Nothobranchius furzeri: one gene and its partner. The protein of the gene in region 1 interacts with the protein of each later gene in a pairwise test. Links are inferred from orthologs where the notes say so. Each region holds a gene or a part of one and is shown in the gene's direction. Other genes may lie near its edges.

What was found.
Region 2: the proteins of txndc5 (region 1) and gmppb interact in a two-hybrid assay, tested with the Homo sapiens proteins (2 studies listed by BioGRID and IntAct). The two-hybrid records come from large-scale screens. The link is inferred for Nothobranchius furzeri from reciprocal best matches to the Homo sapiens genes TXNDC5 and GMPPB.

The regions. Positions count from the first base shown.
Region 1 is NC_091747.1:42,291,759-42,296,354, reverse strand, and holds the start of txndc5 (thioredoxin domain-containing protein 5), read left to right. Parts: upstream 1-1,538; 5' UTR 1,539-1,581; coding exon 1,582-1,766; intron 1,767-3,015; coding exon 3,016-3,168; intron 3,169-3,954; coding exon 3,955-4,060; intron 4,061-4,155; coding exon 4,156-4,252; intron 4,253-4,596. UniProt on the Homo sapiens protein: Protein disulfide isomerase of the endoplasmic reticulum lumen involved in the formation of disulfide bonds in proteins. Can reduce insulin disulfide bonds.
Region 2 is NC_091743.1:68,662,719-68,666,536, reverse strand, and holds part of gmppb (mannose-1-phosphate guanylyltransferase catalytic subunit beta), read left to right. Parts: intron 1-430; coding exon 431-479; intron 480-899; coding exon 900-1,042; intron 1,043-1,557; coding exon 1,558-1,716; intron 1,717-1,860; coding exon 1,861-1,939; intron 1,940-2,788; coding exon 2,789-2,916; intron 2,917-3,006; coding exon 3,007-3,189; intron 3,190-3,441; coding exon 3,442-3,573; 3' UTR 3,574-3,818. UniProt on the Homo sapiens protein: Catalytic subunit of the GMPPA-GMPPB mannose-1-phosphate guanylyltransferase complex. Catalyzes the formation of GDP-mannose, an essential precursor of glycan moieties of glycoproteins and glycolipids. Can catalyze the reverse reaction in vitro.

The DNA.
Region 1 (4,596 bases):
CATGCGGCTCTACCTTTTTTTGTTTCCAGACATTGATAGAACACTCTTGGTTCCCCAGCATCAGTGACCAATGAGCATTTTTGTTTTCTGAAAAGGAAATTTGAGATGCCGAGCCTTTTTACCAACAAGCACACCTGAGAGTATCTTCTATCAATTTTTGCATGGGAGCAGTTCAGTATGAGGTCACAAGGCTCCATAACAATTGGTCACTGTGCAGCACTTTGGTCAGCTCTCACGCTGTATTTTAAATGTGCCATATAAATAAAGTGGTATGGTCAAAACAACATAAGAAAAAACCAACAGGTAGCCTTCTCTGTTCTGGAGTGCATCAGTAGCGCTCAGGAGGACCAACCGCATCATCAAGGACTCTAACCACCCACAACACAAGCTGTGCAGCTTCCATCAGAGAGATGCTACATTTCTGCAGCCAGAACCACCAGACTGATCACTCAGGCACAGGCAACCCACCACTTCCTCTCTCTGGAAAACCACAGGCTTGTCTGTGTCTAGAGGAGTGAAAATGTTTAACAGCAGCCCTCAGTCCTAACTCAAGTTTGTACATAGACTCCTAATAAAAGCTTAAAGTCTTTGAAATAATTTTATTGCTCATAATTTTACACATTTTTCTCATTTTCACCTTTTTTAGCTTATACTGTTGTTTTCTAAATTAGACAGGCTAAACTGTCTCAATTTATTTTACATTTTTCCATCTGTTGTTTGACAGACTGCTGTTTGATTATTTTTTATTATATTGCCTAGTTTTATTCAGTGTTTTGTTTAATATATTGTGTTTGTTTCTAACTTAATTTTGTCTTACAAGCCAGAGGATGGAAATCAAATTTCACTGTGTGACATTATCTTAGGTGCACAAGTGTAACAGAATGAAATCAAGTTAAAAAAAAAATACTTGACATTTGTTGCCGAATAAAATGGCACCATTGCAAAAGGCTGCCTTGGGAGGTTTGTTCTTGTATCCAGTATAGTCTGACTCTTGTAAGATGAGGAAGTGTTTACAAAGTGAAAAACTAAGGTATTAGAAGAAATTAATATTTGTAATATTTTTATGAATTATGTCAGTGCTTTTCTTTTAATTCCAAAAATATTTTTGCATTATTTTTCATGGCCTGTCTACATTCTGGATGTTGATCACAACATTGGAAATGGTGGGGAAAAGGCCATGCATGCCTCATCTCTTAGTTTAATCCTAATGTTTTATAATTCACAATAGGGTTTCATTGCACTGGCAAAGATTTTGTACAGCACACACATTTATTTTTGGAGCTAATCTTCATTTTGTTAAATAATCTTCATCAAGAGTGATTGAACTTTTCTTTACTGATGAAAACTGACATTTTTATAACAGATTTGTTTGAACTTGTCATCCAGAACCACAGAAACTAGGGTCTTCATGTGACCGTAGATCTTCACAACATATTGATTGTACGCACACCGACGACCACAGTACATACAACTCATCTAGACTGTTTATAGCTTTAAACTTAGGCTCTAAGGGGGCGTGTCTGTTCAAAAGTCAGCCCTCTACACCGGCGGGGACGCGCATCACTTTTAGCGACATCCACCATGGCTGCTACATCGAACTGTAAACCTGTTTTAAAGTGTTTTCTTTATTTGTCCTTACTGTTTGCTGGTGTGTTTTGCGATGGGGAAGCAGAAGAAGATGAGCACGCCAAGCACACGTACACGGTGGAGATGTTTAACGAGGCGGTGCCCACTGCACCTCACTTTGTCATGTTTTACGCTCCATGGTAAGTGACCAACATTAGGTTTATTTAAAATGACGTTTCTTGAAATCATTGAAGATAGCATTAATGTGTTTTAAGCGATGTATCTAAGCACGAAAAACCACAACACAGATCGTACAACACTGCTAAACGAGCTTACCGGCAAACTGGCTAATTAGCATGTAAGCTAGGTGGTTACCTAAATCCCTTTAAAGTCAACCAGTCCGGTTAGCCTCGCTGCTAACTAGCTTAGCCGAGTATTAGCAACTTCTGTGTGTTGTTTAGGTGCTATTTCTGGAAGCTTTTGTGTATTTTTAGTTGTGTTCGGTATTTATTCAAACAGCTTTTGTGCAAACTTTTTGCTTTGGGTAGAAATATTAAGAGATACGAGCACAAAATTAAAGTGGAAGTTACGCTTACGTGGCACGCGCTGATTGACCCGTTATGTCATTGGTTTCAATTTGTGGTCCACGGCCCCCAAAGGCCCTTCACAATAAAGAGCTGTAACTAGTGTAGGTAGAAGTTTATATCACTGTTATTTGATTTGTCTCTTCATCCCAAACTGTAAATTGTTGCATTATTATGTGGTTTTTGACACAATTTAGAAAAACACACTTCATTCTTTTACTAATGTCAACACATTTTCCTTTGTAAAATTTGTGAACTACTAATTACTGATCATGGTCTTACCTGAAGTAGAAATTGGTGAACGTTCTGAGTGTAGAGACCTAAAGAGGATTTATGTCGAACGCTGTAAACGTCCTGATGCTCTGAGCACGGCCACCAGAAGAGTACCAACTATGAACTAACATTTAATAAAGGTATAGCCAGTGTTTTGCATCATTTTTGCATCTTCTGTGAATGAGTTACAGGTTGTTTTGTGTTGCAGCGTTGTCAGCAGTGTATCCAGTATTGTCCATGAAATGCAAAACCGTAATTCAGAAAAGTCCCGACCTATGCAACTGTCCAAGACAGTAGTGTTGCATCATTAGGTCAAGTTTAAGATGGCAAAGGGTAACTTTTTCTGGCGACCAGGGTTAATGTGGGTGGCTGCATTTAGTGTACAGGTCAATAAGAAATTTACACAGCTGCAAACAACATTTTTGATCCACAAATCTCACAGATCATGTCATTTCCAAATGAATTCCATTTAACGGGTCCGAGTTCTCACAGGTTTGCACAATGCATCATCAGACAGTTCATACTTCAGCTAAAGTGTAATCTGTTGAGGTTTTCAACAGAGTGAGATTTCAGTGTTTACTACCGTTTCCAGGTGCGGCCATTGCCAGCGACTCCAGCCTACATGGAATGAACTGGCAGACAAGTACAACAGTATGAACGACCCCCCAGTATATGTGGTAAAGGTAGACTGTGTCCAGGACACCAAGTTTTGCTCCAATGTGCACGGCGTTAGAGGCTATCCCACGTAAGTAACTGGGTTATGTCTGCAGCCACACGCACACACACACACACACACACACACACACACACACACACACAGTGCCAGTGTAGACAGAACTAATGCCTGCCTGTATCTGTTTTTGTTCTACATGTCTGTGTGTCTAATCTTGGTCAGGCTGTCTTGCAGAGACACATTGTTATGCTCCAGGAAGCTGGGGCAATGAAAATAAAGTTGTTTCTGATTCTGATCCATATCTGATGGTCCATAAACACAGAGCAGTGGCTGTTTTACTGGAAGCTGCTAAACTTATGGATCATCACAAAAGGAATAAACTTTTTATTATTCATGAACTTCAGGCCACAATGCATGCAAAATATTTTCAACTTAGCCTTTAAAATGACTACTTTACCTGTTTGTTTGGTCACATCAGGTCTACTAACAATCAGGAGTTGGTAAATCCTCCCACAGTAAAGCTAAGATTCAGTAATTGTGAGCCCATGTTTGTTACTGTTCTTTATCACAGTAAAAATAAACATTCAGAAAGTCTTCATTAAATAAGGGAATAAGGGATAACTGCTCAGGTTAAAAGCCTGTCAGATTGTGGACAGGTCATAGTTTTAATTAAAGATCAACATAATTAGTTTACATATCTGCTATCTTAACAGCCCGTTCTCCTTTCTTGTTGCTGACTTCATTCAAACACCATGAATGATTGACTTTTCTTGTGATTCTCCAGAACTTACTGAACCGAATCAGTTACTCTTTCCTTAAATAGTCTCACCTTTTCTTCTGGTCTGTTTTTAAATGTAGGTTAAAATTGTTTAAGCCAGAGCATGAAGCTGTAAAGTATCAAGGTCCCAGAGATCTGCAGTCTTTGGAGACGTGGATGCTAAAGACACTCCAGGAGGAGCCTTCAGTGAGTCTTGTTTTACTCATTAATCAGCTCAAATCTCCAAACATGTGTTTTACAACCAGGAATGTTCCTCATGTTTTTTGTTGGATGCCCTAAAGGAACCAGAGAGTGAGCTGGAGCCTCCAAAAGCCCCCGAGCCCAAACAGGGCCTGTATGAGCTCACTGCCGGCAACTTTAAGGAGCACATCTCTAAAGGTGAGGATCTTATTTGTGTATGCACCTGCTGAAACAACAGGAGTTTCGCTTTTGTCCCATATTTGAATGAATTTTCAGTTTTCAGTCACACTCAGGTCCTGTTTCTGCATCTCCACTAGAGAATGGAAACACTTCATTTGAATAACCGACACGATCGAGAAGGTGTGTCCACATGAACCACCTGTGACAGTCATGTGTGTCTTCACCTCAGCTTTCTGGGCTCTGACATGTTGACTCTGAAAATTAACAGCTTTCACAACAAGTGTCTCAGTGGAGTTACAGTTACGCTCCTCTGGAGCTGAATGTTTAGCTTTCTTGTTTGCATATGAATAAAAACGCTGAAT
Region 2 (3,818 bases), on another chromosome or scaffold:
GGGATAGGAGACAGAGTTGCCATAGCGATGGTAGCATTCCTCATTTCTTCTGAGGGGGGAGTATTCGTTGCAGCCTTACACGCTCAAGGGCACCAGATTCAGATTAGAAATTGTTTTGGGGCCAGACAGAGATAATTTCCTCTCTGTCTTAAAGTTCCGTTGGGCCTTAACCCCTCAAAATCCCAATAATGGCGTAAATTTAAAAATTTTATCAATCGCGTTAAATGACCAACTGACAATATCCATTTTAGTAATTTCAGTTTCCAGAAAAAATGCAGAAGCAGCCGTGCACCCAAAGACAGACAAAGAGCCTTGAGGGTAAGATAGGGAGGAGAGGAGGAAAAAAGCGTCTGCACTCTACAAGAGCCGGAAGAAGTTAATATTGGCGTCAGTTTTTTTCATCCTGATTGTTTCACTCTTCTCTCCTCAGCTTGGGATTCTTATCTCTCTGTCTCATGAGAAGGAGCCTCTGGGAACCGGTGAGTGTCTCGTCTCCAGACAAAACCAAAAATAATCTTGAGTGTTGTGTCCAGGATCTTTTAAAACTGGTCTAGAGACTCCAGGTAATTTATTTCACCAAAATAATTCCAGAACACTGGAATAGTTTTATCATCCGTGGATTAAAACAAAACAAAAATGAGCCTGGAAATGTTACCAAGAGTTTGATTATAAGCAGAGATGCTCCGGCGCTGGATAAATGAGTCATTTCATGAATGAATTGCTAAAAATCTCAAGTTTGAAAGGAAGAGGGAGCTCCTCTGTAATTTAAGATTAAGATCAAACAAAAATAAAAGTAAAACATCATCTCAGATTTCCTGTTTTAAATCCATTTAGACTTGGTTCAACATTTTAATAAATCTTCTGAATTTAACTAAGAAAATTTGTCTGTTTCTGCTCAGCGGGACCCCTGGCATTGGCTCGAGACCTGCTGAACGTCGATAACGAGCCATTCTTTGTCCTCAACTCTGATGTCATCTGTGATTTTCCCTTCAAAGATCTGCTGCAGTTCCACCAGAACCACGGCAAGGAGGGAACCATCGTGGTACGATGCAGACTTTGTAGAGGTTAAAGATGTGATTTCTGGTTTATCAGGCTAAAATAGGTAGAAAACATCCAGGAGCAGAAGGTCTCGTCAGACTCAACATTTATTTACATGATTTAAAATCTCATGCTTGTAGAGCCACGTGATTGATGCCTTAGAACTTCAGCTGATGCGAAACGATTTATTTGACCTTTTTCTTTCATTGAGTAGCTAATGACACACACACACACACACACACACACACACACACACACACACACACACACACACACACACACACACACACACACACACACACACACACACACGTTGCAAATTCAGTACCCACCCTGCAAACAAACTATGTTAAAGTAGAAAAAATCTTTTAATTTGTTTTGATGTTGCTGCCCCCTGGTGGCTGTAGTTGATATTGGGAATTTCATCAAATGTTTTTATTTAAAACGTAAAAACAAAAGGCCCTAATGTCTTTGTGAGTCGATCTGCTGATTTTAACCTGGGTGTGTGTTTGTTTGAAGGTGACGCGAGTGGAGGAGCCCTCCAAGTACGGTGTGGTGGTATATGAGTCCGACAGTGGGAGGATTCAGCGCTTCGTCGAGAAGCCGCAGGTCTTCGTCTCCAACAAGATTAACGCTGGCATGTACATCTTCAATCCCAGCGTGCTTAGCAGAATCCAGGTGAAGCTCACTCGCTATACTGACGTTACTGTTGTTTTTATCATGTAAAGTTAAGCAGCAGAATAGATACGTTTGGATATTTAAACACAGATTTAGTTGTTGTTCTTTGTTATTTATGGCCTGCTTTTTTGTGTTTGTGTGCAGCTCAGACCGACATCCATCGAGAAGGAAATATTTCCCATCATGGCAGAAGAGGGTCAGCTGTACACCATGGAGCTGCAGGGTAACTATTAAATACGCTTTGGTTTATTCAGCTCAGAGCTGAAGCTCTCGACATACCAGTCCTGTAACAGACAACCAACGGTTGGAACTTAGAGCAAGAAAAGAGCAAACAGAAAAAAGTACAAATGTAGCTTGGAAAGTTCAGTCTGTTTTTGATGCAAAGAAAATTAAATTGATCCTAGATTCATTTTCTAGAAGTCTCTGTAGTTAAACTAAAGACACACTCAGTGGCTTCAGTTCAAAGGAAGGTCTTGTTGGAAGCTGACACGTTTTGCTCATTCTGGTCTCAGCAGCTCCCAGCTCCACCAGACGTAAGTGTTTGGGTCTTTCCTCACATCCAAACTCATTTAGTTCAGCTTCTGCATGTAGAGAAGCACTGATGTGTTTAAAAAGACAGAACTAGATTTGCAGATGAGTCGATTTTTATCAGGAAAAGATGACTGGAGGGATTCTGGTGCTTCTGTACATCCTCCTTCCTGAGCAGTAACCCCCCCCCCCCCCCCAGTAGATAAACCAGAATTTCCTGTTCCGGATTTAATCTGAAAGTTTTACCTGCCATAATGCCCTACGTCACATCCTGAGGTTTATGAGCAGTAGTTGGTTCCTTTAAATGTTTGATTTTTTATTTTTATTTTTTTTTCAATAAATAAAAAAAAACACAGCTTATTCATATACATCCAAACCACAGAGTTGAGCTTTTATTCATGTGTATTTAGCTGAATTTCCTATAGAAGCCATAAAGTCCTGTTGCTGGTCGGTAATTTGCCTGGTGGAGATTATCTGTTGAAACCTGGTTGTTTCCATGGTAACAGCTTTTGACTGTCGGGCTGTTGTTCCGTCTGCACCTTAGGTTTCTGGATGGACATCGGTCAGCCGAAAGATTTCCTCACAGGAATGTGTATGTACCTCCAGTCGCTACGGCTACATGCTCCTGAGAGGCTTCATACAGGGCCTGGTTTCCTTGGCAACGTCCTGGTGGTCAGTTCGGCTTTTTGACCATATAGAGGAAAAAACAAAAAACGATACCTGTGGTGATGTGTAGCGTCTGTCCTCATTTTTCCTGTGAAGGACCCGTCGGCGCAGATCGGGGAGAACTGCTCCATCGGGCCCAACGTCACCATCGGTGCCGGTGTGGTCATCGAGGATGGGGTGAGGATAAAACGGTGCACGGTGCTGAAAGGATCGAGGGTTCGGTCCCACTCTTGGTTGGAGAGCTGCATCGTGGGATGGAGCTCCTCCGTTGGTCAGTGGGTGAGTAAACTTCCTTCACGTGGATCAGATTATAATTCATGTGTTGGCCTGGTTCACTGGTTCAAGACCCCGAAGAAGTCCAGGTATTCCCAGGTCATCTTTTTAAACTGGAGTCTGAATAAAGCATCATTGTTGTTTTTTAGCAGCTGGGTGACAGGAAGTCGTGAGCAGGACATGTGTTTACTTGTAAAACCTAGGATCTTGTTGTGTTTGTGTTTAGAAGTGATGACGGTTTTATGTCTCTGTTTTAAGGTGCGTATGGAGAACGTGACGGTGCTGGGGGAGGACGTGATTGTGAACGATGAGCTTTACCTGAACGGCGCCAACGTCCTGCCTCATAAATCCATCAATGAATCGGTACCAGAGCCACGAATCATCATGTAGCATCGGGAGAGAAAAGAAATATCAAAGATAATTTTATAAACTGAACGCCCAAAAATGTGCCAGAGAGATGGAGGTGATCACACAGATGGAGGAAGAACAAATGGAATTTTATTCCCTTATTAAACTGATTTGGACTCATTTTTATTCCTGCACGGCTGAATCTTCCACCTGCAAGGAGTCGTGGCACAAGTCCGAGGTAGAAATGGGAAGATTAGTTAGGACAAACGTGTCCTAAATGTGGTGGA